Zea mays: one gene and its partner. The protein of the gene in region 2 interacts with the protein of the main gene of each other region in a biochemical or structural test. Links are inferred from orthologs where the notes say so. Each region holds a gene or a part of one and is shown on either strand. Other genes may lie near its edges. The genes, in order: ADP-ribosylation factor 3 and protein GRIP.

Region 1 (3,729 bases), on a different chromosome or scaffold from region 2:
CAAGTCGTGAGTACAGAGCAACTGACGTGAGACGACGGTTGAACAGTCGTCCGCGGTGCACAAAACAAACTACAGTCTATCTCTATTCTATGTACACGTGACTTGCCGTACAGCGCAAACCTTTGCTTTCAGGTGACATCCTTGCTGACGTCAATTCGCAGGCCGTTTTGTCAGGCGGAGCTGTGAGCTGGTTCGTGCTAAGGCCAGCCTGGAGTGGACGCCCGGGCCTACCGGCAAATCTTTTTCCTGACACAGGAAGGAGGATTCAATCACGAAAACAGCTGCTCAATCCGCCCCCGAAATGCAACACTGCTCTTTCCCCAAGGAATATATACATTTTTTATAAAAAAAAACTCAGCCTTAAGATAATTTTATGATTGTATATCAATTCCAGCACAAAGTTCTTCACAAGCGAGTAAACACAGGTGTCCGATTAAACTCGCATCGCAACGTCTTGCGAGTTGCGACGGCTTCTGTAATGATCCCTCTGCCGCAAACGCGGTGACAGAGATTAAATGAAGTGTAAAAGTGGTAGCAGAAGGTGCTTAAGAGCAGTTTCTGTAATGATCACTGATACGAAAACATAGAAATGTGGAGTAAGTTTAATCATATTGGGGTACAAAAAAAAACTTGTCATGATCCATGAGATTTACGGGTAAAGACAGTAGCACAGTTTGCTCGTCATTTTCCACAGACCTATTCTTGATCTCAACCTGGGGGTACATCTAATGTAGTATCCAAAAAATTTAACACGCACTTTACAGATAATTGATGGCGGTGTAGAACTTCTGGAGTTAAAACAAAGAGAATGGGATTTGCGCGCTGACTTGCAAGCATCGGCTATTCTTTACCATCCAGCAAATGATTCATGACGAGGCGGAGGCTCCTTAGCTGCTTCCAGATTTGAGCGTGTTACTGAGCCTGCAATAATAGCCAACCATAAGTTGCTTCCTCCAATAATGTCTCCAGAGCATCACGTAAATGCAAAAGGCGTGTTTTTTTGTAATTAATACATAGAACTGCATCTTGATCCACGGACAGTACAGCCACTACTTGATAATGTAGGAAGAACTATTTTAACTGATGATACGAATGGTTTATTAAAGAAGTTCATCCACTTGTCATTATCTTACAGAAACATCGCTTAGGACATGAAAATTTGACCCCACTTACCAGTCCAAACCTTCGAAGAGCCCCTCTCCCTTTATTGCAGATGTTTTGAAAATCGCCCATTGGCGGCTCTTAATTTTGTGTAGTTCTAATGACTCTGTAATGGCAGCATCATCGAGTGCACCTGGAAGATCCTGCATGAAAACAACTAACATGTCAGATAAAATGCCAAAAAAAACACGGTACAGTACAGCAAAGCTACAACCTACAGGGTACAAGTAACATAAGGCACACAAGCTAAAACAAATGTCTTCTGCAAATGAGTACACCATGCTGAACTGCACACATATCTCATAGCAGCTATAGAAACCTCATCAAACAATTTGACAAGAGTGTGCAAGCTATATGCTGAAGGAGCCAAACATTTGAAACAGATGTTATAGCTACACTTCATATACAACCATGAACCATCTTAAAGCAGGGAGCTTGTGTAGCAGGGAAAAGATGACTATATTACCAAAAATACAGTACACTTCATATTGAAAGTAGTACAGGGCAAGTACAAATATCGACAGTCCAGTTTCATTTCCAACAACCAGCCCCGGCATCGCTCCCCGCGTGGTCGACTGGTCGACTCGGGCAGCGAAACCCTAGACGCTGCTGCCCCACTCCCCTTCTCTCCGCTGCCAGAGGGGCAGACCTAGGGCTGACAATGGGCTATAATTTTTGCACTATAAGATTTAAGGATCGAAGCGGGTTAGGATCGGGCTTTATTTCTAGTCATTTTTGAACTATAATTTATTTAGGGCCTTGACATTTTGTGAAGAACTATTTGGATCACAATCCATTACCACCCCTAGGCAGACCGGGATGCTCGCGCGGACCCCTAAGACGGTGGCAGCGAGGCATCCGCTTGTTGGCGTCGCGAGCGCCCGGATCCGCGCTCGGGACATGGTCTTGGTGGCCGTGGCGGTGCTGTGCGCCCACGTGGACGCCGCAGGTGGCGGACAGGGGCGGGGCGGACTAGCCCGCTGGCGGCGTGTGCGTGTCTCTCGGCGGTGGCGTGCTCGCCCGCCAGGTGTCCGCGTCCTACACGACCCGTGGCTGCTCCGCTGTGCGCCGTGGCACGTGCTGTCACGGGGCAGGGCGTGAGCTTCGGTGCTAGCGCCGGTCGGCAGTGCCATCGGCCTGCCGGTTGGCTGGCTCTTTGGGAGGATTTTGCGGCCCTCTTGCACGGTGCTCCTGGCGGCTCGGGAGGGGAGAGGTTGCAGGGGCTGTGTGCTCGCGGCCGCCGAGTTGTCGTCAGGGGGTGCAGCGACACTGGCCTGTGGCAGTGGGGCACTCGCCGCAAGGTGGTGCCCGATTCCGTGTGCCCGGCCGGTGGGGGTGGCATCCAACACAACTTTGCGGTAGCAAGCATGTCGATGTCCCTCTGGGAGGGTTTGGGCGGGATGTCAGGGCAGCGACGTTGGCGGAGGTAGCCTGCGTTGTCCCGGGGTCTTGGCTTGATGTTTGTGCTAGGGGACTTCTTGGACGAAAGCCTCGGCGACGGTGATGTCCATGGGCGTCGCTTCCCCTGTTGAGGGCGTCGCACTCCCCAGCACTGGCTTCCTTGGGTGAAAGCCCGGTCCATCTCGTACATGTGACGGTGGCATCCCCGATGTCACTACCTTCCTAAAGGCGTCGCTTTTGAAGTTCGTCTCGGCCACGACGTCACTTTTCGGCTGTTGCTTTCGCTTCTCAGCGTCCGGTATGCGGGTGGAGGTGCGGTCTTGCAACGTGAAGTCGGAGCTACTACGTCAAGGGATGTGGCTCGACAACGATGACGTGAGGCGAGCCCCCCTTCTTCGTAGGCTAGATTGCTTCAGAGGCTGAGCGTTTGTCGGGGCGGGGCGGAGGATCAAGTTTGGAAGTCTTTGTTGGTGAAGAATCGGAGCTGCCTCGCATGGGACGTCTCGAGGCTCGACAACAACGGCACACCGCGGTCTTCCTCCTTCCGTGCCAGTGTTTGGGTGTAATCATCGTCGGTTCTCCTTTGGCCTTGTGTTGCCCGTCTTGAGGAGTCGGAGCTACTCGCCCTTTGTATTGAGCTCGGCAACAATGACACTGGATGGTCTTTGTGTGTGGGACTGCCGTTGTCTGGGTTGCTTGTGCACCCTGTGTACGTTTTGGGCCCGATTTTCCTTAAAACTGGGTCAATTCCTTTCTTCTTAATTGAGAGGCAGAGCTCCTGCCATTACGTTCAAAAAAGTACAAATATCGACATTTTAGGCATTGAAGCGCTGACTGCTGATGCCTACGTCAATATTCATGTGCTTACATGCTAAGAAATATAAACATGAAGTTTAATTCTGATAATCACGGAAAATGACAAATTTAGCAATAGTATGAGAAAATGTTTCTTTTTACCTGCTTATTTGCATACACAAGGACAACTGCACCTTTAAGTTCATCCTCCTGCCATGTAAAGACGTGCATCAATTCAGTAAATGTAACATTTTTAAGGGCAACTCATGCTTACTAGCCTTTCTAATTTGGGGGTGAATAGACTTTCAATAAAAGAAATTCTGATTGTAGTTCTACAACAAGTGTGACTTAAAGGCATATGTGCCCTAGCTA
Region 2 (3,827 bases):
GGCTATTTGGTGTATTATTAATTTCTTGTTGTAGAAAATCATCAAAATACAATTAAATTCATAAAAATATTGTAGCGTCGACCGAAAATTGCAAATAAGTTACCAATATTAATAAATAGTTTATAAAAAGATAATCCTAAGTTCCCACATGGATATAATCTTAAGTCCCCACATGAAAATGATAAAGTCTATTATTTTGATATAAATTTAGACATTATTTTAATGATTTTGGCCTAAAGATATATTTAAACAAAAATGTGATGTACTACAAAGTTATAGATCTCTTCGAGCTCTACAATTTTCATATAAACTTTATCTTCATCCGATTTCATATGTAAAAGTTATGATTTTATAACTATATTATTTTGCAGAAAAAGAAAAAACGGGTACCCGAATTCCGGGTACCCGTATCCGACCCGAATATCCGGGTATTTACCGGGTAGTACTCGCTCCGTATCCGACCCGAATCCGAAGCCATACTATCCGGGTATTACCCGTATCCGTCCTGAATCTAAAAAATACCCGTATCCGTATCCGAAAAATGGTCCCGAATCAGTATCCGTATCCGGTACCCGTTTCGGGTACGCTACCCGTTTTCACCCCTAGCATTCACCCAGTCAATGTCATTCTAATGCTAGCTGGCTGGAGCTATGTCCCATTCCTCCCTCCAAATAAGCACCAGATAGAAGATCTTGGTACTTAAAGCCATAACAGAACTTTTAGAATTCAACCATGTGCCCTACAACACCTTACTAACTAATTTTAGGTCATGCATTTCTACTATTAAAGATCACCAAACAAAAACAAAAAATGCCAAGAAACATTGCATTTACAATTTTACATACCTGCTCTTTCTCAAGCACTGATTGTTGCAGTTTCTCAAGAGAACTGTTTCTGACCTCCAAGGCAAGCCGTGTCTCATCGAGGTTAGCCCTCAACCTACACATGGTTTGAATTATATATTATGTTAAAATTAGCATGTCATTTTGGTAAGATTCAGGAAATATTGAAGATGCTAATTGCATCAGCAATGGAGAAACTACAGCCTACAGATATAAATATAGGACTATCACTATAATGGAGGAGCTAAGTTCAACGTAAACGTAGTCAGGATTCATATAACTATACAGTTCCACCCACCCAAAGAAAGAAGAGAAACAAAAACCTAGTGCTATTGCATGATGTTAAGAGATGACGCGTGCATTGTACAATGAGATATAGGATTATAACTATAATGGAGGAGCTGCAGCTCAACGTAGTCAGGCTCCATATAACTATGCCACTCAGTTTCACTCACCCCAAGCAAGGAGAGAAATGAAAGGCTTAATGATATATTTCACAACGTTAAAAATCACATTACCCATCTACAAGAATAAGAGAGATTTTCAAAGTTATACTAATTACCAGAGAGCTAAGTTGATGAGTCATATTGCAAAGCTATGGGAGAGTTATTGAGCATTATCCGAGAGGAATAACAAGGATCTCTATAAGCCAATTTGGTTTCATGCCCGGAAGGTCAATCATAGAAGTCATTTTCTTAACAAGACAAGTGATGGAGCAGTATAAGGAGCAGAAGAAGGACATACATATTGTTTCCATTAACTTGAAGAAGGCTTTAAAATACCAAAAAATGTTATGTATTGGCCTTCGAATAAACATAAAGTTCCAAGGAAGTACGTTGGAGGTTGGACACATTAAAAACATTTACAACGATGTCGTGACTAGTGTTCCTAGTGTTCAAACAAGTGATGGAGACATGGATGACTTCCTGATTAGAATAGGACTACATCAAAGGTCAGCTTTGGACCCTTAGCTTTTTTCTTGGTTTAGATAAGGTCACAAGGGACATATAAGGGGATATCCCTAGGTGTATTCTTTTTGCAGACGGTGTAGTGCTAGTTCATGAAAGTCAGGCAAGAGTAATTAGTAAATAGGAAACTAGAGTTGTGGAGGAAGACATTAGAGTACAAAAGTTTTAGACTTAGTAGAACTAAAATCGAATATATGGTATATGACTTTGATACTACTATACATGAGAAAGAATATGTTAGTTTGGAAGGCCAAGTAGTGCCCATGAGGGGTATCTTTTGGTATTTAAGATCAATGATACAAAGAAACGGGATATTGATGAAGATGTTAGCCATAGAATCAAAGCATAGTGGACGAAGTGGCGTCAAGCATCTAGCTAACTATGTGACAAAAAAGGTACCACAGAAGCTAAAAGGCAAGTTTTATAAGACGGGGACTAGACTTGCTATGTTGTATGATGTAGAATGTTGGTTTACAAAAAGACGACATGTTAAACAGATAAGTGTTGTGGAAATGTGTATGTTTCGTTGGATTTATGGCCACACAAGAAGAGATTAAGTCCAGAATGATGATATACATGTGATAGTTTAGGGATAGCACCGATTGAAGAAAAGCTTGTCCAATTGGTTGATATGGTTTGAACATGTCCAACAGAGACCTAACACTACTGTGTAGTGGGATCCTAAAGCGTGATAGCGATGGGAAGAGAAGCGAGAAAGACCAAAGTTGATATAGGAAGAGACAGTAAAAGGAGACTCAAAAATGGAATACATCCAAAATGTAGCTTTGAATAGGAGTACACGGAAAACAGCTATTCATGTGACTAGACATTGACTTGTGTTTTATGTTGGATTTCAACTCTAGCCTACACTAACTTACTTGAGACTAAAAGGTTTTGTTGTTGTTGTTGTTGTTGTTGTTGTTAAAATATGACACATGCATAGTACAATGAGATCAATAAAGTCACTCACTTGCTGTTCACTGTCCGCAACTGCTGTCTTTCAGCATCCATTGATCTTAAGCCCTCACTAGCCTGCTGACGAGCACGTTCCAGTTCCTGCTGTGCTGCTAATTGCAGAGAAGCAGCCTGCTCAGCCTTCTGATTAACTTCATTAAACCGAGCTTCCAGATCAACTTTTTCCTGTAAATGTGTTAGGGAAAAACACTAAAGTTCATGTTCTTGTTTCAATAATTCAGTATATGATGACAATGCTATTTGACATTCACGAAACATGACAAACAGGCAGCAAAGAGTCGATTACACCACAACAATCGTTGAATCAAATTGTATTAGTTCATGCTCAAGCTAATGTGCACATAGGACAGCAGAAATTTCCCTATTTAGGGAGATACTGGGGTAGTGAAGTAAAGGATCTATTATTGTCAAGCTAATGTGGATATAGGACAGACAAAATATTGGTTACTTGTTACCTTTTGTATATCTTGTATACGTTGTTTTGCACGCTTGAGAAGCCTCTGAAGCTTGGTTTCCAGCTCAAGATATTTGTCATCGCGTTCTTTTAGTTCCTTTTCCATTTTTTGTTCAGCTACATGCATGGAACTAATGATGAATTAGATTCTGAAACAAAAAAAGTAGCAGCAAGAACTAGGTTGTGTTACAGATAAAAATGATATAGCAAGGTGTAATATGATAAAGCTAAGATACAGCAAATCCAAAATAAAATTCAGAAGTTTATCCTCTTCAATAACTAAATGGCACTTTAGAAGTTATTGCATTGTACCACTATCCGTTGGCAAATCTAGGTAGAACGAAGCACAAGAAAACTGCAAAATGATAATGTATTCACAGTCATCTTACAATTACAACTTTCTCAGTTTTAAACCCTTTTAGAAAATAATCAACATGCAGAAGAGTTGTAATGAACTACAGAACATGACCATCTTTTCCTTGCACATGCCCAGAGGGCTCCATCTTCTCTATCGCGCACACATTAGCATGTGATTGGCTCAAAATATAACAATACATACATAGTCCATGAGTCATAGCACAGAAGCTT

Evidence for each region.
Region 1: the proteins of protein GRIP (region 2) and ADP-ribosylation factor 3 form a complex in vitro, tested with the Arabidopsis thaliana proteins (2 studies listed by BioGRID). The link is inferred for Zea mays from reciprocal best matches to the Arabidopsis thaliana genes ATGRIP and ARF3.

The regions. Positions count from the first base shown.
Region 1 is NC_050099.1:27,788,456-27,792,184, forward strand, and holds the end of ADP-ribosylation factor 3, read right to left. Parts: intron 3,568-3,729; coding exon 3,520-3,567; intron 1,305-3,519; coding exon 1,174-1,304; intron 922-1,173; coding exon 888-921; 3' UTR 587-887; downstream 1-586. UniProt on the Arabidopsis thaliana protein: GTP-binding protein involved in protein trafficking; may modulate vesicle budding and uncoating within the Golgi apparatus.
Region 2 is NC_050097.1:205,749,764-205,753,590, reverse strand, and holds part of protein GRIP, read right to left. Parts: exon of another isoform or gene 3,815-3,827; coding exon of another isoform or gene 3,799-3,814; intron 3,371-3,798; exon of another isoform or gene 3,367-3,370; coding exon of another isoform or gene 3,357-3,366; coding exon 3,241-3,356; intron 2,951-3,240; coding exon 2,781-2,950; intron 940-2,780; coding exon 846-939; intron 1-845. UniProt on the Arabidopsis thaliana protein: Golgi matrix protein playing a role in tethering of vesicles to Golgi membranes and in maintaining the overall structure of the Golgi apparatus.